2 linked regions of the Rhinolophus ferrumequinum genome follow. The protein of the gene in region 1 interacts with the protein of each later gene in a biochemical or structural test. Links are inferred from orthologs where the notes say so. Each region holds a gene or a part of one and is shown on either strand. Other genes may lie near its edges.

What was found.
Region 2: the proteins of RAD51 (region 1) and EVL form a complex in vitro, tested with the Homo sapiens proteins (2 studies listed by BioGRID and IntAct). The link is inferred for Rhinolophus ferrumequinum from reciprocal best matches to the Homo sapiens genes RAD51 and EVL.

Annotation. Positions count from the first base shown.
Region 1 is NC_046289.1:64,419,779-64,430,556, reverse strand, and holds the start of RAD51 (DNA repair protein RAD51 homolog 1), read left to right. Parts: upstream 1-5,250; 5' UTR 5,251-5,500; intron 5,501-8,171; 5' UTR 8,172-8,187; coding exon 8,188-8,274; intron 8,275-10,778.
Region 2 is NC_046289.1:4,348,894-4,360,448, reverse strand, and holds the start of EVL (ena/VASP-like protein), read left to right. Parts: upstream 1-6,700; 5' UTR 6,701-6,983; coding exon 6,984-7,006; intron 7,007-11,555. UniProt on the Homo sapiens protein: Ena/VASP proteins are actin-associated proteins involved in a range of processes dependent on cytoskeleton remodeling and cell polarity such as axon guidance and lamellipodial and filopodial dynamics in migrating cells.

The sequences.
Region 1 (10,778 bases):
CAAAACATACACATAAATTTTTCATGGGAAAACTAGATGCTTATTGAGTTTATGTGATACTGATTGAAATTCACGTCTGACTGAGTCTTAAGGATCCATAGCAAAATTGTATTCAGCTGAACTTGGGGACATATACTTGTGGAAAGGTGTTCATTTATTTACAATGCATGTCTGCTACCCAAGGACTCTTATTTTGTCAGAGTACTAGGGACGTTAAATTAATAAGGATTAGATTAGAAATAGTAATTATTAGTTAGATTAGATTGCTTGACAAATATCATCTATACAGTATTCTTATTTTTAAGAATGTTTACCCTGAATCTAATCATGAGAAAGTAAGTAACCGGGGCCAGCCCGGTGGGTCAGGTGGTTGGAGTGCCATGCTCCTAACACCTACGTTGCTGGTTCGATTCCCACATGAGCCAGTGAGCTGCGCCCTCTACTACAGCTACACTGTGAACAACAGCTCTCCCTGGAGCTGGGCTGCTGTGAGCAGCTGGACGTTAGCGTAAGCTACTGTGAGCTGCTGCAGGCTACCTTGTCGGTGGCCAGCATGAGTGGCTGGCAGCCAGCGAGAGCTGCTGTGAGCTGCCAACCGACGACTGGCAACCAAATGCCTCAGCCAGGGGGAGTGCAAGGCTCATAATACCAGCATGGGCCAGAGAGCTGTGTCCTACACAACTAAACTGAGAAACAACAGCTTGATCCGGAGTGGGAGGGGGAAGGCGGAAGAAGGGGAGAGGAAAAAAAAGTAAGTAACCAAATCCAGATTGTGGGACATTTTCTAGAAAAGTGGCTTGGATTCTTCAAAAATATCAGTCATAAAATCAAAACAAAAACAGGCAGGGGAACTCTAGACAACAGGAGACTAAAGACACTTTAGAAAGGCAATGCTTAATCCTTAATTGAATCCGTTATTAAAAAACAAAACCAATAAAGGGTATTTTGGGGATACTTGGAAATTTGAATATAAACTGTGTATTAGATAATATTCCATGTTAAATTCCTTAGGTGTGATAATGATATGGTTTATATAGGAGAATGTCCTTATTAGGAAATACGTCAGCAACTTAATTTCAAATGGCTTTTAAAAACTATTAATATATGTGTAATGTTTGTGTATATGTGTGTTTGTGTGTATGTGAGAGAAAAGGAGAGAAAAAGCAAATATAGCAAAATGTTAATAATCGATGAATCTAGGTAATGGGTACATGGGTGTTTAATTGCACTGTTCTTTCAACATTTCCGTAGGTTTGAATTTTTTTCAAAATAAAAAATTGGAAGTGAAAACTGGTTTGCTTGGTGGCCAAATAACTAGACATAGTATCTTTTCTAAGAGATATTTCATCCAGGCTTTGGGGAAGTCTGATGAATCCCTTTTGTTCTGTAAGGGTGTATCTTCTTGCAACTGTTTTTTGATGCCAAATTCTTGCTCTTGATCTTCCCCCCATCCTTTACAAATTGTCACAAAAGTTTTTATTGTGTTTTTTTTTTTAAATTGGATCGAATCTGTATTATTTTTAGTTTTTGAATGGGTAATACATCCACATGGTCCAAAATTCAAAAAGTACCAAAAGGAATGTAAAAAGTTTTGCTTTTACTCTGCCTGAAGACACCCAGCTTCTTTCTTGGAGAGAACCAATGTTACCAGTTTCTTATCTAACCTACCAAAGCTATCCTATGTACAAAAGCAAACATGTATGCAATGTTTGCTTAAGTGTATAAATATGTATTTCTTGGGGGTGGCGATTGGCTCAGTTGGTTAGAGCGGGTGCTCTTAACAAGGTTGCCAGTTGAATCCCCACATGGGCCACTGGGAGCTGCGCCCTCCACAACTAGATTGAAACAACTACTTGACTTGGAGCTGATGGGTCCTGGAAAAACACACTTAAAATAAATAAAAGTTTAAAATATGTATATATATATATATACACACATACATATATACATATATATCTTCTTTTTTACACAAATAATACACATCAACACACATGAAATTTCATTTTGCCTTTTTCACTTAACTACATATCTTGATAGGTTCAAATCAGTACATAAAGAACTTCCAACACATATTTTTTCCTTTTAATTAAATAGTAGTTCACCGGATGGATGTATCATACTTCTATTGATAGATATGTAGGTTGTCTATCACCTTTTGCTACTGTAAGCAATACTGAAATTTCACATAGTGTAAGTTTATCTGTAGGATAGTTTCCTAGAGAAATGGAGCTGTTGAGTCAAAGCCTAGTTGCATTTGTAATTTTGATAGCTATCACCAAATTGCCCTCTAAAATACTCAGGTACTAGCAAATGAGTGCCTGGTTCCTCTCCAAACTTATTAACACAGTATATTCCAAACTTTTTGATGGTATCTCTGTATGGTTTGAATTTGCATTTCTCTTATTATGTATAAGGTTGACAGTCTTTACATATATTTTAGAGCAATTTTTACCTCCTGTGTACTGTTAATAACCTTTGCCTGTTTATCTTTCTCATTGACTTGTAGGACATCTTTAACTATAAGAGGAAATAACCTTTGTGACACAGGTTGCTAAATTCCACCCCCCCAAGACACCATTTGTCATTTTATTTGACTTTATTTATGATGGGTTTTTGCCATTAAGAATTTTAAAGATATATAATTAAGTGTATTAATATATTCTTTTATAGCTTTGGGGTTTGTGACATACTTAGATTTTCCCCACTGTAAAATCCATGGTTTCTCTTAGAACTTCTGTGGCTTAATACTTGACATTTATATCTTTAATCCAGTTGGAAATATATCCTAACATAAAGTAGTGTTTGGTAAGGTCCAAATTAATTTTTCCCAGATGACTATGCAGTTATCCCAGCACCATTTAACAAACAGTCTATTTCTTTCCACACGTTGGAATACCTTTTTTATCATATACTAAATTTCTCTATGTATTCGTATATATATCTAAGCATGGTAAGCAGACTAATAGCCTTCTCCCCACCCCCCAAAGATGTCCACATCCTAATTCCTTAAACCTGTGAATGTTACTTTACATTCCAATAGGGACTTTGCAGATGTTTTGAAGGATCTCAACATTGAGAGCCTATCCTGGTTTAGCTGGGTGAGCCCAATGTGATCACAAGGATCCTTCTGAGCGAGGCCGGATATCAGAGTCGGAGAAGGAAATGTGATGATGGAAGCAGAGGTCAGAGTGATTGTTGGCTTTGAAGAGAGGAAAGGGCCTTGAGCCAAACAATGCAGATGTCTCTAGAAAATGGAAAAGGCAAGGAAACAGATTCTGTCTTAGGACCTCCAGAAGGAATACAACTCTGCCAAAACCTTGATTTCAGCCCAGTGAAACCCATTTAGGAATTCTGACCTCCAGAACTGTAACATAATACATTTTTGTTGTTTTAAGCTACGAAATTGGTGGTAATTTGTTACAGCAGTAATAGGAAACTAAGATACCAGGATAACTATTCTGTTCCATTTACCTATTTATTTTTGTTCAAATACTTTTATTTATTTTTAATTTTTTTTGTCTACGAATACTTTTAATTATTGTAGTTTTATAATATCCTGTATATCTGGTTGGCTCAGGCCCTTTTTATTCAGGATTTTCCTGGCTCTTCTTGCCTTTTATTTTACCATATAAAGGTGAGAACTAGCTTATTCAGTCCCCCAAAAAAACTTGTTGGCATTTTTAGTGAGATTATGTATTAAATTTAAAGATCAACTAATGGAGAACATCTTTAAGATGTTGAGTCTTCCATAACAAGTAGATAGGGTTAAAGTATGCTTTTTGTGTTGTAGCCTTCTTTAATATCTTAAAGTTTCCTTCATTAGGATGTGCAATTTTCTTTTTTAAATTTTTATTGGGGAGTATTGGGGAACAGTGTGTTTTTCCAGGATCAGCTCCAAGCTCAAGCCAATGTTTCTCACTGGTCCATGTGGGAATCAAACAGGCAACCATGGGGTTTGGAGCGTTGTGCTCTAACCACTGAATGAACCAGCCACTCCTGCAATTTTCTTAAGTTTATTTCAAGGCATTTAGTATTTTTGTTACAATTTTAAAATTGTCATCATAAAGTCAAAACAATTCATACCAAATAGTCAAAGAATACAGATAAAGGCAAAGTCATTCAAAAGCTTAGTGAGCATCCTCCCTAAGGATCTCTTAACTATAAAGAAGGGCAATGACTACTGGGTAGGCAACAAATAGTGACTGCCACAAATCCCTTTGGGATTTCTACTGGGAGTTCACTGATTTTGGAGAATTTTCAAGTTTATAATATTGAGCCTTCTCCTCTCGGAACATAGTTTTAGGTATTTCTCCATGTAGGTCCTGAACATTTCTAAAAGTTTATTCCCAGATATTTACGGGTTTTTTTGCTTAAAAACTTTCAATGATTTCCCCATTGCGGAAAGAATAAAGGCCAAAGTTCCATACGTGGTCTTAAGCCTCTTCATTGCCTAAAGTAAACGTAACTTTCCAGTCTCATCACCTCTTACACTTTTCCTTCCTCATTACACAATAATATTCCTTGACCACGTTGTTCAATTTCCATGCCCTTAATGCTCTGCTTGCCTTCCATCACTTGTTCTTCGGCCGAGAAATCCTATTCACTCTTTAAAACCGGAATCACTTATCAAATTTTTCCAGTAAGCCATGATAAGGTTTACCTTCTCAAAATCAATGTCTCCTTCCTCTGGAGTCCTGCAAATCTCCAGTAAAGTACCACAGTTTGACTACCATTGCTTTCTCCCCTCTACTTCCTCGATTTCCCAGTTCATCCATCAGCTCTAGCTTCCTGAGCTCCATCACTTCCAGGGACCTGGAAAGCGCCTGACTCCGGGAATTTGAATGAGTCGGAGGTTCAGAGCGACGTGCACATCTAAAAGCCCAAGTTTAGATACGTAAGTTAATCAAGAATAGCTCTCAGGAGCCAGGTTATTTCCGAGAGGGTGAGGAGTTACCGCCGCGGCGTCCGCCGGCGGTGCATACTGGGAGATGTAGTCTCGGGCCGACCCCACTATCTCTTGGGAGTTGTAGTTCTCGATCTGGTAATGAGAAGGCCGCAACTCCGAAGTTTTGAATTAGTCCTTACGAGTAAAAGGAAGAGGGTAATCCATAATATCTTGCAAGGTCAAGCTCCTTGGGCCTATCTCCGGACCGCGAGCATTGGCGGAACAAGCTAGAAGGCGGATCCGAGAGGGGCGGGGAGACGTTAGGCTGACGCAGACGTGACCCTGCCCTGTAGGGTTTGGCGGGATTTCCGAAAGCCATAGGGCAGTGGCGCGCTGCGGCAGGAGACTGAGTGCTGAGGGAAGCTGAGTTGTGCCCCGGAGCGCGTAGTTGGGAACTGGAACCCGCCTGGGTTGTGTGCAGAAGGCCAGAGCAAGGGAGTAGAGAAGTGGGGTGCAAGCGAGAGGTCTGGAATCCGTCCGGGGTCGGGCGCGCGCTGGGCCAGCGGACAGGTCGGAGCGCGCAGTCCGCCGGAACGAGTAACGCTGCAGGCCTAGGTGAGTTTGTCAGGCGCTGACCGGGCCCCTTTCCATCGCCAGCTTCATCCCCGCGTTAGCCAGACAGGGACCCGGCACCCGGGCCCGTGTTCCCGCAATCGACTTAGGGTGCCGCTCTGCGCCAAGTGAGGCTGGGGCGTGCCCGGGCCTGGATCTCGGTGTGGCGAAAACGGTAGCCGACCCGTCTTTAGAGCTGAGAGGAACCTTTTTGAGGCTTTCCTTAACAACACCTGTTTTATGGCGGTGGACGAGGAAGCCGAGATCCAGAGAGATGTAATGACTTAGTAAAATTGCAGCCGTCGTATGTTAGAACCAGGGTTTCCGGATTTCTGGTCAGCCTCTTTCCGTTACACCATACTTCGTTTACAAAGTACCAACCTCCAGTTGCCAAAAAGATTTTCATTAGCTAATCGGAAGACCGTTCACGTGATACTTTGGGAATGATACGTAGTGAGCTGTAGATTTTTTAAAATCTTCTAAAGTGAAGTGTAATATACATGTAGAAAAAGCGACAAAAGTGTATACAGCTCCATGAATTATTACATAATATACCTGCATAATTACCACACAGGTCAAAAAATAGAATGCTGTCAGCACCCCCAGAAGACTCTCTGTGCCCCCTTAATATTCTCCCTTCTTCCCAAAGGCAGCCACGGTATTGACGACTAAGACCGTTGACTAATTTTGCCTGTTTTTTAATTTTGTATAATACTATATAATTTATATTTTTTGTGTCTGGCTTTACTCAACATTCTGTCTGTAGATGAGTACAGGTTTTTGCATATAGCAGTAGTTTTTTCTTGTTGTTATATTGTATTCCTTATTCATTCTACCCATGGTGGACGTTTGGGTTGTTTCTAGTTTTTAGCTTTTATGAAAAAAGCTGCTGAGAACATTCCTATGTACGTTTTGGTGCAATGTGAATGATTTTCATTTGGTTAATAATACAAAGTAGTGAAATTCCTGGGTTATATAGCATTTGTCTGTCTTCAACTTTCACATTTAATGCCCATTTTCCAAAGCTGTACCAGTTTCCACTAAAATCAGCAAAGTATGAGGGTTTAGTTGTTTGACATGTTTGCCAACACTTGATATTGTCAGTCTTTTTAATTTATTCTGGTGGGTATACAGTAATATCTTGTGGTTTTAATTTGAATTTTCCTGATTAATGAGGTTGAGTATTTGTTCAAATGTTTATTGGCCATTTTGATATCTCCTAGTAGTGAAGTGCTTATTTAAATTTCTTGCCTGTTTTTCTCTTGGGTTATCTTTCTTGCTGATTTGGAGGAGTTCTTTACTATATATTCTGGTTATTAACCCTTGGTTGTGTATGTGGTGAATATTTTCTCCCCTCACTATAGTTTTACTTTTCATTCTCTTAGTGGTGTCTTTTGATGGATAGAAGTTCTAAGTTTAAGAACTCTTTATCGTGAAGTCGTGAAGATATTTGCCTATATTCTAAAAGCTTTGTTTTACCTTTTACATTTAGACCTGTAATCTAAATTGGAAATTGATTTTTTTCTGGGTTGTTTTTTTCTTCTATAAGGCTATCCAATCAACCCAGCACCATTTATTGAAAAGACCAGCCTTTCTCCACTCTGCTGTGCTATCTTTTCAATAAATTATGAAGGGAGAGATTTAGATTTAAATTGCATTCAGGTGATTTAGATATTTGGAATTATCATAGACACATTATGGTAAATCTGCCATCTAAGAGATCTGTACCTGAACCAATCAAGAAAAAATAGTCATCTTCTGTCAAGTCTCTTAAGAATGGAGATTTTATTTGAGTTAAATTTATCCCTATTGTTAAATTGTCCAGATTGTTTTGGTGTAGTATAAGTCCATTCTTGTGGACATTATGACTTGTTCACTTTTAATAATACCTCTTGAAGTTAATTTAAAAATTTTTGTTCTCAGTTCTTTTCAGTCTGAGCGATCTTAACTCTATCATAATAACCAGACTTTAGGTATAGGCCTTACGCTTATATGGAAGATTTCAGACTGAGCAGGGTACTTGCATGTCATTTATTCATTCATTTGTACATTCACTGAGATCTGGAATTAATTAAAATGGTAATCTTTAAATTTCATACACTCCTGTTAGAAGCTACAAGTTAGGATCCTTAACATTAGTCCACTCTTTCTCTTTCTGTAATGGAGGCTTATGGGCAGTCATTCTGTACCTTTATTTCACTCCTTTCCACCACCCCCAAATCCCGCTTGCTGGAAGAGAACAATGGAACTGAAGTAGTTTAACTTTTCATCATTTTGTTTTTAATTTATGTAGAGTCCTGGAAATTCTGCATTCATTTACCAAATATTTCCCAAACATCTAGCGTTTATAATGTATCATGGGGGGGGTATACAAATAAATAAGACTTGGCCCCTACCCTCAAGGAATATTGAAACAGGAAGAAACAGGGGACATAGTTGATCTAGTTAAGCTTTAGAAATCAAAATAGTGCTGGCTGTTCCTAAAGTTTTTCTGATACAACTAGCTAGGTGGAAGGGAAAACTGGGGAGAGATTTGTTTTTCTTTCCTGCCATGCGTAGGTCAGTGATTAGACCAAAAGCCTAGCAAGTAATTCTTCGGAGATTTATTGCAAAACTAAGTTTATAGCTCTGTACTTTCTCTTGTGTTCTTCTGATGGCCATCTGTATTTTTCAGTATTGAACACTAAGTAATGGCTATGCAGATGCAGCTTGAAGCAAATGCAGACACTTCAGTGGAAGAAGAGAGCTTTGGCCCACAACCTGTTTCACGATTAGAGGTATGTGCTTAGTTGCAAATTTGGGAATTAGAATGCTGGACTAGGTTCTTCTACCTGTTGGGAGAAATCACAACCTTTGCATAAACCCTTGGTTTACTACCTATGGTCAAGACCCAAATTAGAGTTCAGAAGAGTTGTCAAGGATCCCGTGAAACGGCTTAAGATAGTCACTAAACATTTTTGGGCAGATGTCTTTTTTTTTTTTTTCAACATTTATAAAATATATTTTATTTGCTGCTATACTAGATGGGTATTTTTGCCAATAATAAAGTGGTATATTTAATATTTCCTATGCAGTTCTGTGGCCATGTGTTCTGTTGTGCTTGCCAGAATCCTCCTATATTATTAAGCACTCTTTCTAGACACTAGAGCTTTTGAATTTATTGCATCTTTTCCCACTGAAAGTGCTCTTCGTTGACCAACAAAGCCAGCAAGGACCACTAGAGGTCATTCTTCTGCCTTTTCAGGTGCCTCCAAATGCTCCCAGACAGGTTTGTATCCAGAGGCTTCTAAATGTCCACTAGGCGGTACAGCCCAACAGTAAATATGCACGAGGGTTAATGGGGCTGTCAGAGACGACTGTGCACTCTCCTTCCTGGAAGGAGGACACAAGCCCAGCAAACTCCTGCATAAGCTAAGGATAGAATTCTGCCACGAATATTTATCCAGCAGCTATTTGTGGAAACTCCCGTGCCAGCTGAGTGCTAAAGTGGGTGATGGTAGGGCATCAATGATAAAGAAAACGAGACTTGCCTTTAATCAGCTTACAAACTCCTGGTGCTGTGGCGGTGGTCATGTTACGGGCAGAGGCACCACTTTAACAAACATCCTCCTTTGTCCCAAGCCCTGGGCTAAACACGGGGTACACAGTGGAATAGAGCATGGCCTGACCTCTGGAAGCTTCCAGGTTGTTGTGGAGGACAGACACCTACACTGATGAGAGTCATGTCATGATATGCCGAGCTAGCACAGCTGTGCCCTACCACGCAGTAATGTGCATGCTAGCAGTGTACGCTGGTGTCACAGAATGGAGGGATAAACAACCCTGTCGAGAGGGAAGGAAGGCTTCCTGTAGGAGGTGATCATGAGCTGAGTCTTGAAGGATGAAAAAGGAGAGAACTAGGCAAAGAAAAGAGGAAGTTTGTTCTAGACAAAGGGAGAATGTGAGCAAACTGAAGAGGAGCGATGATACAGCTAGCTCAGATCTCTTTTTCAAGAATTTTCCTTCTACTTGATCACTTTTCTTTCTCAGACCTGGATTGTCAGAAACTAAGAAGCCCTAGGACCTCATGGTGGAGTCTGGTCTGTTTGTCCTAAGTATGAAATTACTGTCCAGGGAATTACAGTGGCCTGGGCTGGTGATGTAGGGATAGGAAGACCCAGATCTGTGCTGAAGTTACTAGCAAGACAGCTGTCATGGGGGGCAGGGAGAAGGGCTTGTAGTTGTTAAGGTACAAGAGCCAAGTTCCAATTCAGGATTCTGCACAAGAACATCAAGCACCAGAGCTGGATGGAGGCTTGCACTATGTCTGCCCATTTTACAGAAACTGCAGTGTGAGTGAATCTGATATGGGCTGAAAGAAGTAGGAGGGAAAGCAGAGAAAGCCTTCATTCTTTTGTCTCTTTACACATATTCTTCCCATCCTTAACTAAGCTTCAAGACTCCAGAAGTTCCTTAAACAGGTTTGTGATAAACATTAGAGAGTTCAGAATTATAACTTGAGGTGTCATGAGCATCCTGATACCCACACATGTGTATTGCTTAACTATTAATAGCAGGCATGGTTTCTAGGGGCAGATACCATTCTCTCCTGTCTTCCAAACCTTCCTTGACCACCAAATTAACTCATCCCCCCATTAACTCATACACATTCCCCCATTAACTCATACTCTCTCAGAAGTCATGGTTTTGGTGGCTGATAAAACCAAAGCTGACTGTATATAGGGAGAAAGAGGTGCCTTTGGGTAGTTTGTTTTGAGTAGTGGTATGTAAGCCCCTGACCAAAGTAGCTTTCCCCATTCTCAATGTTGGTTCTATTCATTGTGTTACAAAAAGGGTATTGATACGCTACTGTAGTGCTTCCCTCAGCTCAGGGGCAGCCTCATCTGTTTATCCCAGCTTAGTGTAAAAAATATTATTTTTTAGGTGTGCTTATGTGGAAGACATTGGGAAGTACTGGTTTAAAGTGGTCTTTTAGGACTCATGGTCTCAAAGTTCATTTAGCGTCCCAGTCATAAAAGGTTGAGAGTTACAGGTTTATTCTCAGTGCTTGGGAGTTACTGGTTTAAACCCAGTTCATGATGAGTCCATTTCAAGATACATGAGATAGTGCTAGTTTAAACTCCTGGTTTTGAAAAAATGGAAAGGTTGATAATTTGTTTTTAAATACCTTATATGAAGGGTACACTTTTCAAAGCTTTTGCATATATCACAGTTCTTCCAAAAAGCCCTGTGAAGTAGGTAGGGCAAATATCCACATTAGATAGATGAGAGAACTAAAATT
Region 2 (11,555 bases), about 60 Mb from region 1:
TCGTTGTAGATTGCTGAGTGTGTGTGGTCTGCTCCTGACTGCTGGCGAGGCCTGTTCCCGCCTCCCTCCCTCTCGGGGAGAGAGCGGTGCGGGACACACAGCAGGTGCCCAAGAAAAAGTTCTTGATTGAATATATGAATTTGCCTTATGTGCTTTTATCTTCCTGGTTCTCCCTCTGTTCCTGGTAAGATTTTCTTGGCAGGATCTGAGTGACATTGGAACAGCTGTACTTGTTCATTCCAAAGGATAATCTGCCCTTCATTGGATGCTCTCACCAGAAAGAGGACTGCTGACTTAATCGAATTTCATCTTTTTATGAAATCTTCTCTCTAAATCTCCAAAGTGCTGCTTCATTAATTCAGCAGATACTTAATGAATAATTCCAGCTGCCAGGCCCTGGGATGGAGTAATAAAGATGCGTCAAGGTCTTCCGCTCACTCCTGGAGCTTACACTTCTTTGGCTTATGGTCCTGGTGGTGCTCTCAGTGTTTCTGTTGGAATATTTTCCGCCTTTGCTCTGCTTCACTAGTAATCTAAGAACCACGTGAAACAACTCAGTTGTGAGAAAGACGGTCTGTCAAACACACCTAACTACAATCCATCAACTTCTCTCGTCTTCTCTGCCCTCTGAGTCCAGACCCCTCATCTCTTACCTGGAGTGTTGTCACAGCGTCTAACTGGTCTCCTCACTTCCATTTTTCTTCTAAAATGAAAACCAGGTCATGTGACTGCCCCCTAAATCAAACTCCACAGTGGCTTTCCTGGCTGAGAAAGCCTGTCTGCGTCTCCCTCTGCTCCTCCTTACTTCTCTGTTCCGACCACACTGTATGAGAGGGACGAAAACCGCACTTGTCACCGTAGGCCTTTGCGCCAGCTGTCTTCTCTGCCTGCAGTGACCTTTCCCTGATGTTTGCTAACTGTCCCCTGCTTGTCATTCAAATCTCAGCTTAAATGTCACTACCTGCGGGGGCCTTTCCTGTCATCACCTCTTAGTAGCCCCCACGCACTGTCTAGCATATTGCCCTATGTTATCATCTTTTTCTTACTCCGCATCTGGCTTCCTCCATGAGAATGGAAGCACCGCAGAACTAAGGGGTTTGGCCGTCAGGGCTCTCTGTGCAGCACCTCGAGTGGTACCTAGCACATAGTAACTCTTTGAGTGTTGGTTGAGTGAAAGCAAGGATAATTTTCAATAACCAGGTACAGATATTGAGAAAGTGCATATTTGAGGAGAGGCATTGGTGTAGCCAGGAATGCAGAAGTAATGATCGATGAACTCCTACTTTTGGGTAGTGAGGGGTAAACTGAAAATGTGTCGTAATTGTGTTTGCTTTACGATAAAACGCTTTTTGGGGGTAGCTTTTGTTAATAGAAGTAAGGGATGGCTTAATTTAAAACTTATTTTAAAGTTAAATATCACTTTAGAAGTTCAGTTGAATTATGTAATTTGGGGAAAAGATTTAGTTCAGAGTGTAGGACTCACACATTTCTTACTGATTCAAGAAGCATTTAAAAATTTTTGGAAATGTTAATTCTACTGGAATAAAAACACATTCACTGAATTCAAAAAGGTTTTGACCAGAGACCTACTGTGTGCCCAGGAATGTGTTGTGCCTTGGGAAGGCTTAAAAGGGACTAAAAACAAAGGTCACTGCTAGTGGGCTTCCCATAATTTCAAAATAGAAGAATTTGGGGGTGGTGGCCCAGAATTAGAATGGATTTCTCTAGGAGCTGTATTTTTGCCTAGCAAGCATGCTGTTTTTACTTAGGTTGTTTATATATTTCAGATGAAGGTTACAAGGAACTAAACTCCTAAGGTACCTTCTGTCGGCCCCCTCCGTGCCTGTCCTCAGCGACTCTCAGCAGGTTAGAGGCCTGAGACAGGTAATGGACAACGGCTACTCCTCAGCCCAGGCCGATATGTGAGATTAAAAATATATATCTATTGCCTCTCAGGCATTCTGAAGTTGTCATGGTCACCATGGGCTGGTTTATGTTAGGAGGGGAACTCGATGGAGTTTTGAAGCATATGCCACAGTGTTAGCTGCTGTCGATGGTGGTTCATGTGTGCCAGGGGGTCACCTCTGGGGCACCCCCAGATGTGCTGTGATCCCGTCTTCGGATTAGGATACTGAGGCTTAGACGGGTAAGAATTTGTCCGAAGCTTCTCAGGTTGACAGTTGAACTGGATTCAGAAGCACACTTTCCAAACCGTTGTGGAGAGAAGGCGGAAGGAGGAAAGCTCTGGAACAGGGGAGGTGGCGTGAGTAAGTGTGCCGGGTCAGTGGGGATCTGGTTGGCACGTGTGGGAGGTGTGTGGAGGAGCTGAATGCCAGGCTGGGGGCGAGACTTCATTCTGCGGGTTTCAACTGGAAGGTGCCAGGACAGGTGGCTGTGTGCAACAGGGAGGAAGGCAGGCAGGAAGATGGAGGTGAGGGGAGTCTTAATTAGGGTGCTGGAGGTGAGGCTCCAGTGAGGACACTTGTGAGTGCCTCTTACCTCCACTCGGCCCCCTGCTTGTTGGAAAAACCCACGGATGGGCCGTGAGGAAAGAATCGTATTTTTAGTCATGACTGTAACTGATTTGCATTTAAGTCTCCTCTTGGTTGTCTATACACAGCTCAGCAGTGCGCGTGCACCTCTGTAAGTGTCAGAAGAGCGTTTCTGTTCTACTTGATGGGAACATTAGACTCTCTTCATTTGCTCCGTCTTTATTTTGCTGCACGTACATCATGTCAGGGCTGTGTGCCTACAGCCTAAACACAGTGGGAGAGGAGACACTGCTTGTGAGGCAAACCCACAGGGATTTACACTCTCAGACCATCAGCCTCCAAACGAGCTGGGGTGAGGATTTGGCACCGACAAATCCGAAGTTCACCTTTGTGGGAAATTGACCATTTCATGGGGAAAGACGTTGCTTGCTGAACCTGTTAAGCTAAGAGCACTGTTTCAGATAGATTTCAAACATCCCTCTCATTTAGCTTCCCCAGTTGTCAGGGGCCGGGGGATACCTCATGTTCACCATCATGTTTTTGTTCAGTATCTGTTTTGTTTCTGGAGATGCCAGCATACACGTCCAGTAACTGCAGCAGGCCAGGCCCAGATGGCAGCAGGGCCTAGTCAGGAAGCTTTGGTGCTTAGGATGAGACTAGAAAGAGGGAGTGAGTCCAGATTAACTAGGCTGAGTGTGATGACATGAGCCTGGCGAGGCCCTGGGTGCTGGCACTGACGAGCTGCCAGGTCACTTAGGCCAGGTGGTTGCACACTGCGGCAGGGCCTGTCCCTGCTGGGGAGAGAGGAGACCCGGCAGCAGGGACTCGGGCTCTTCATTCCTTCGGCCGGAATTGGCTACTTGGATCCGTTTTCTGTTCTTATCAGCTTTACCTTCCACGGAAGTGGTATTTTAGAAAACAGAAGGCTAAAAATTTAATATCTGGCTGTTCCTTGAAAGTGACAAAGGACACACAAGTCCCAGAGTAGCAACATGCTTTCTCCGAGCCTTGAGTCATTGGTGGACGACCTGGGATGACTTTTTTTTCCCAACACTGTGTGGTCACAGGAGTGCCATTGAGTGAGGCGTGGAGTGGTCAGGAGTCAGGGACCCTTACTTATGTCCTTATTCCTAACACTTTGGTGTTACCGGTTATCAAGAGGTCACATGGGAGCACCCAGCCTTGGAAGCAGACCCAGTTCCCAACCTGGTCCTGAGACTATGTCAACTCAGGTTTCCACCCCTTCCTTCCTGGGGCAGCTGAGGCTCTCTGGAGCCCTTAGCGGTCTCTTGCCTGGCCGTGAAATCTGGGGATTAGCCAGGGTCCAGCAGGATGAAAGAACCCCAGAGAGTGATCATGTCCCAGCCCTCTGTCAGGCACAGGCTGCCTGGCAGTCTCTCAGGGAGGCAGCCTGGGGCAGTTGGATCATTGGTATTGGGACGCCAGGAGGGCACAGAGGTTAAAAACCTTGGACCTGGGTCCAAGTCATTGCTCTGCCACTTAATAGCAATATAACCTTGGCCAGGTTACTTAACCATTTGGCACCCAGTACCTTATTAGTAAATTGGGGGATCTCATAAAATTCTGTTTAAAATACACTTGGTGCTAGGATTTGGAGATTTTTCACCGTTTCTGTCCGCTCTGCGCTCTCCCTTCTGAATGGCCCTGAAAGAGGCGATTCTTGAGTCACTGGTAGAGAAAGGCACAAAGTCCAGAGGTTCTCCGTCCCACCAGGCCGGTCACACTGGGCCTGCCTGGTGGCCAGGGGAAAGGCCAGTTCCCACTGGGCCAGACGGCTGGGAGTTAAGACCCCTGCAGCTCCTCTCCATACCTTGCAAAGAGTGCCAGGAATGGAGGTTTTGGCCTTTCTACCAACCAGCAAACCCATCACGTAATACTGAGTGTCTCCTTGCCCTCGGGAAGCTTGCAACTGGTTGATAACCAGCTGCCCCAACCCCACTTATCTGACTAACCCCAGGTAGTTTAATAAATAAAAACATCATATAATTGTATTTGGTGTGGGTGAGTTGTTCTTCCCAAGACTTAGGTCAGCTCCAGTGCTTTATTTTTTAACTTAGGATTTAGGACAGTGATTTTATACACATATCCACACATCCCTTGTCCTGAGAATCACAGGACAGCAATACCTTCCTTGCTCCTCTTCCGCTCAAAAAAAACAAAAGTAAACAAGCGACCAGTGAACGGGCAGACAGAACACTTGAGGGAGGCGGGTGGCCTCAGCACGAAGAGCCGGCAGCTATCAGCTCTGCCCGGGGAGACCGGCTTGTGAAGTAACAAAGGGGAGGAAGAATGTTCCTATAAAATTTGTGTACGTGATGAAGACCGCTCACGACTCCACTGTCCCACCTTGTGGGGTCCTTACAAGCATTCTGTGACAGAGGCGTGGGCAGTGTCCACATTATTCCAGATGTACCTCTGGGGAATCCCAGGCTCGGGACTACGTTGCTTGTCAGTGATCACAGAGGCAGAGCTGGGACTTCAGCCTGGGTTAGTTAATGGCTGACTCCTGTGTTTTCTGTTATGCCATGATTCTGCCCCTAGAAGGTCTCAGGCAGAGACTTGTGCGGAATATTGTGGGAGACGTTCTGGATCCTCTTAGTTGATGATTGCTATTTGGTGTGAGGGACCATGGGGTTCCCCAAAATTTCTTTCTCACTAATCAGTCCGCCTCAGTTGGCCATTATCGCTTCATTTCTTTGCGGCAAGTTCTGGACTCTCACTTCTCTTCATGATAGAGGTAACGTAAGAAAAGGGGTGCGGTCATCCCAGAGCACCTCATACAAGAACCAGGTCACTCTCCCTGGTAGAAAGCTGCACAGAAGGAGGTTCATTCAGCGAACCTCTGTCAGGCTCCGTACCAGGCACTGGAAATACAGAAACAGTCTCCCGCAGCCCGCGTCCTCAAGGACCACAGATGCGTGGGGCGCACGCAGCATGCTGTAAGGCGGTGCCACCGGCAGCAGGGAGAGCGAGTGGCTAACGGTCCTGGGGACGGAGCCGAGGGAACAGTATGCACTGCTTGGAAGGGCGCAGGTCACGTAGGGGGCAAGGGATAATCTGGGCAGTTGGCCCATGGACCAAAGAAAGGAGGTCCTGGCAAATTTAGGGAACTGGGGCTGTCTGGCTAGATTTGGGGGTTTGTGAAGAGTTTTAATGGAAGAAAGAGTTGGAGAAGTCAGATTCGGTATGCTGGGCTCAGGCATTTTCACTTAATCCTATGGGCATTGAGAAACTAATGCAGGTTTCAAATAGGGGGCATGAAAATCAGATTTAGAAAAATTGCTCTGGCAGGTTTTGAGAGAAGGGATGGAAAGACCAGTTGCTAACACAGCAGACCAAGTGAGAAATGCTGGAGGCATGATGCTGCAGGTGTGAGCTCAGGCCGTTGGTGGGCGTGGGGAAAGGGTCAGATTCAGAGAAACCTTTTTGAGGTAGAATCAGAATTAGTGATTATATTTGTGGTATGAGGGAGAGAAAAAAGTCAAGAGTGACTCACAGGTTTTTATTTAAGATCTGCCTCCCTTGTTTTATACAGATTTGCAGTCCAAATGAGAAAGACTCTTCTTAATGGCAAGTTCAGAATGCAGTCGCAGCTCATTTGCCAGATCTTGCCAGCTTGGGCTTTACAAACTGGTAAACATTTCCCTTTTTTGGCTGACATCTCGTTTCTTTTTTTTTTTTTTTTAAACTTCTGTTCTGAAATTATTACGGCAATTTTTGTACATCAAGGAATTGATAAGACCCTGGTACCTATTAGACACTCAATAAATGAATAACTGAATAAATGAGATCAGCCATCACGATTGACCTAGAAGGTCACGTTGTTCATGGTAAAGAGGTGGGCATAAAATGGGACTTTTGTGATTCCAAAGCAGTTCATGCGTTTGTGATAAAGTAATGCTTGGTAGGGATGGGTAAGATTCAGAATTCTGCAGAATTTTCAGTCCAGTGTAGCTGGGTTTCACTACACCATGTTCGCTGACCACGGTGGTCATACCTGGTCATTAGAGCAGCAGCAGCCACAGGAAGATGAGGTAATCAGGCAGACCGCAGTAGAACAGGTTGCATTCTCATTCCTTTTTGCTTTTGCCCCCCTGCAGAATTCTGGGTGGAGGTGGGATGTGTTCTGTGATTCACCGAGGATCCCAGGCGTGCCCGAGGTTCCACTTATTTCCCTGGACTAATCCAGCTCCCAGCCTGGAGCCTAAGCATACACTGCATTAATCAGACTTGCTGGAATGATCACATGGTTTTCGTGCTGCCTCCCCTGTTAGCTGCCGCCTGTCAGCAGCTGGCAGAGCTGGCGGCTGCAGGCCCCTGTCTGCAGAAAGCCTTTTACTTCAGAATCTTGGGGGGTGTGGAAACCCCGCCTCTTTTTCCTGCACTTTGCACCATCTGACTGACTAAATGGTTGTCCTCCAAACCAAAAAGGCTACCAGACAATCTAAGGAAATTGTCTCTGACTAGGTCATGTTCGCATTTGAAGAATTCAGGTATGCTCTGGGTTTTCTACATCAGTCTGCCGCTGGGTTTTTGTTCTCGTAGGTTTTTGCTGTGTAATGCCAGCTTAGGTTCTGGCTGGTTCTCAGACAGAAAGGGGTTCTTCTCTGCATTTGGTGGGGTTTACCCCAGTCGGGGTGGGTGGGAGGCACAGAGGTGGTGCAGATCCAAGGTGTTTACCGCATGCACAAACGCAGCATGGATAATTGGTATGATGGTGTGCAAATTTGCAGAGGACCCCACCTTGTGCCTTACTTGAGGTGCTGTTGCTGATGTAGAGTTGTGAATACAGAATGGTAACTGTTTATCCAGAATGAGTCTCTGGCTATCTTTTGTTTTTCTTCCTTTGTCAAACTCATGGAGTCTACTGCTCTCTTAAAAAATGCTAATCGTAACAGCGAATTCTGCACATCTGTCTGCTCAGTTGAGATTTGATTCGGGCTCTGATTTTCCTCATTGTCAATAGCAATCTTGTGTCTGGCCAGTTTCTGGGAAGTGCCCTGAATGTTTTGTTAACAGGGCCCTTCTTTGCTTTTGCAAGCTTTTCAGCTGCTCTATTATTAATGCTCCAAATTAGAGTCTTTTGTGAATCTTACTGCTTCTCTTTCTTCCACCTCTTCTCCGGGAATCTGTCCCTGGGTGTGAATGTGGGAAGGGATGTTCCCACATTCCCACAGAGATAGTTTCTAAGACATGAAAATAAGAAGGTGGAATGGGAGGGTTATCTGATCATGCGTGTGCATATTTCCATGTCTTTGGAACATATGGAAGAGAGTGTATCTGTGTGTGTGTTTCTAACCTCTGACAGCTTCTCATTTCTCAAGAGGAATTTCTGTGTATTTTAGAACTGAGCATAAATACCATGTCGATGGTCAAAGAAGTGACTGTGAGGCAACCTCCATGCTGCTGCTACAGACATTAAATGTTGATAGAGTAACCACTTTCCATTATTTGTAAGAGGAAACTAGAGACCTTTCCATCAAAATCAAGGAAGTAGATGAGAGAATCATCAGATTTCCACAAAGCAGGGCTACAAAGGTGGCCCTTTTTATAACTTGGGGCTTTGGATCCAGGAAGTTATTCTTTGTTTAATAGCATGTTCCTGCATTATTTCTAATGGACTAGGCTTGTGCAAAGGACATTCTTTTCATGTGGCAACATGCTCTGGTGACATGGGGCCTGTGCCCTTACACAGTGACCAGAACTTACTGTTTTGTAATAGCTCCACTAATTACTAACAAGAACTTATTAAATGTTTGACATATTACAGTAGCTTGTTCCTTAGGGAATGAAACAGGAGTCCTGGGTTCTAATCCCAGTTTCAAAATTAGCTTTTCTGATCCTTGTGAGAGTTACAAAAGAATTTTATAAATTATAGAAAGTAGCATAATTATGAGGGTCGTATTTGATTGTTAGCATTTAATCTAGATGGAGTGAGCCTTACCTGCTGCCTGGAACAAAGCTGGGAGCCTTCGCTGCATTTCATAGTTAAGGGACACAGACATGTATCGACAGAGCCGTACCGTTGCGGTGGCTCCTCGCCCAAGAGCCCAGAGCTGGGTCTGATGAGGTGGAAAGGGGTCAAGGTAAAGGCCACTGCACTGCTGACCTGAGAAGTGGGGCCTCCGTGGAAAGTAGGCCAGAAGGAGGAAGCCTCTGACCCGGCGTCAAGCTTCTGCCTGAGCCAGCCCTGAAGAGCTTGGCTGCGTGTGATTGCATTGTGACGGCTGCTCAGCACCAGACAAATGGCTTTCTTCTTTAGTCACAGAGTTTGCGTGTGCCGGGGCCAGGTGATCACGGTGGGGCAGCAGAGACTAAAGATGCTTAGCCCGTTCGCTTAGGTCAGGGTGGCTCCTGAGCTGCCGGATGCAGCAGTCTTCACCTGGAGAGCTCGCCACCTGGAGAGCTCGCGGAACTCGGATTGCTCAGGCCCCTCCCGGAGGTTCAGATCCAGGAGGTCTATGGTGAGGCTTGAGAACCTGCATTCCTAACAAGTTCCCAGGTGATTCTGATGCTGCAGGTCTGAGAACATTGGCTTGGGGAAAGCAGATGTTGTCACTGAGATGGGAAGTTGGAGGCAAAGGCAGAATGGAGATACAGGTGGGAAAAAAATCAGGAGCCAAAAGCAGCAGCTCAAGTACAGGTAGGAGGACCCTCAGAGCGTCTTGGTCAAGGGGAGGTCAAACCATGGCCATGTCACAGCAGCCCTCCTCCTCCTGGGAGGCCTCAGAGCAGTGGGAAGAGGAATGCGGGGTGAGAATCAGGCCTTGGCTTATAATCCTGATTCTGTCGGATTCAGGTACTACTTTGTGGGCTGCGCAGGTGTCTTGATATTTCTCAGTCTCCATTTTCTCAACTGAAAAATGGGGATAGCAGTTCTTGCCAAGCAAACCTGTAATGCTGTCAGCAATCAGTGAGGGCTTAAACTTTATACATTACAGCGCTCTTTCTACGTGAATGTCAGGGGAGGAGGGTGCTGGGGGGACCCCATCAGCTTGTCCACGATGTTTATGGTCCTCCCGTGTGGATACACCCCTCCATACACACAGCCCAACCCTGAGAGCATAAGGGCCACGTTCATTTTAAAAAGGAAGTCTGGTTTTGATACAGACACATGTACATACCATTGTTCCCTACTGGACTACAAGTTCTCGAGAACTTTCATGAATCCTGTGTTTTTAACTTTGCTTCCTTCGTGCCTAAAACTGCTTGACATACAGTAGGCCTTAATAAACAGTTGACACAATTCATTTTCACGATGATTTAACAAGGAAATGCAGGCAAGCTATGTGGCCGGCTCAGGGCAGGCCCGCTATTGGTGCCATGGTGGCCGCAGAATGTGCTAGTTCAGAAGAGCACGTTGAAAAGCTGACAACTGACCAGAGAAAAATGCAAAGTGTCCTCAGCACACCCCAGTTGCTGGAGTGCCAGAGAACTCCGGTCACATTTCCTAAGGAATCTCTACAGATGATCTTACTCTAGAATGTGCTGAAGACTCTAATGATTCGCTAGGGCCCAGGGCCCAGCCTAGAGCTGCAAAATCCCGACAGTGTGAGGCCAGGCCAGCGTTTTCCAGCCATTAGGGGCTTTCTGCCTGCCATTGACCACAAGTCTGTGTTGTCCTAACACCAGGCAAGCTGTCCTCGCTGGCTGTTGGGGCAAACACACTTCACTTGTGTTTTTGCCTTTTAAAAAAAACCAAAAACTTCCTCGACAAGATGTGTACTCAATTAATAGTTTAAGTAAACACTTGCTGTTCCTCCACACCACACGCTGCCATGGGGTAGGTACCACCGGAGCAGCTTTGTGGGACTCTGGCTCTAGACCCAGAATAGTGACCACGTTCCCTTACCATCCCCAGAATGAAGCGTTTTAAAGTGATTTTTGGCTCCATAATCCCTCAAGTGAGACTGGAACCCAAATCAGAGATCACTGTTTCTCAGAATTCCTGATACTTGACTTATTCCGACTTATTTGCAGAGGAATGTGGTATACCAACGCCAAGGTCTGAAATCCACGTTAGAATGTGTCAATCACGAAAATGTTACTTGTTGAGTCTGTTTGGTTTTAATTATTTTATTTTTAAATGTTATGGAAGGGCTGAGGTTCAGACTCTAACTAGCTCTGTCTTTATTAATTCAAATTGATATCTAGTCTTGGGAAATGTACCTTTCTTGCGCTTTCCCTGGAATAGTGAAACAAGTTAAACTGAGCGGGGTCAGGGCAGCCCTGATGTCCGCAGCCCAGGAGAGCCCACCAGGTGGGTGGCAGTGCCAGCTCAGTCCCCAGGGTCCTGGGGTGCCTTAAAGAAACAGATACTTCGGTATAGCGACTTTCCCACAGTGGCGCGGAGCTCCGTCTCAAGTCCATAGGAGCTGGGATGGGGCTGGGCAGGAAGGGAATGTGCAGAGCGTGGTCACCGAGCACCTTCTATGTACCAGACACTGCTCACTGCTTTGCCCGCAGTAACCTGAAGCCACATTGCATCTTATAAATGAAAACAAAGGCTCGGGGACACAGGTAGTCCCAAATGTGTGACTCTACTCAGACCTATCCCCAGGAGCACCTGGTTGGAGGAAGTGGGCAGAGAGAGGGTGGAGAGTTGAAGGAGAGAAAGATGAAGCAGCCGAGGGGGAGGGCAGACAATTTCATTGACTTGACAGTTCCGCCTAGTGTTTGTCTGACAAGCCAAAAGCAAAATGTTATTTTGGGAAACAAGTAATTTAGCTGTTAGGATGGCAAAGCAGATACATTTAAAAATACCAATCTATCCTCCCTTATTAAATAAGTGTTACAATTATTGTTCAGTTTTACTCGAAGAGAGGCAGGAAGAGAGGCAGTGGATCGGAGTCCACAGATCTGGCTTCAATTTGTAGAACGTAAACGTAAAGGCTGTGACCTTGGTAAATCACTTTATTTCTCTAGGCCTTAGTTTCTTCATTTACCAGGGAAAGGGCTACTTTGAGGATAATATGTAAGAAAGAAGTATATAGGTTACAGATTTTGCTGTAATGTTTGTATTTTATATTTGGGAATCCATGG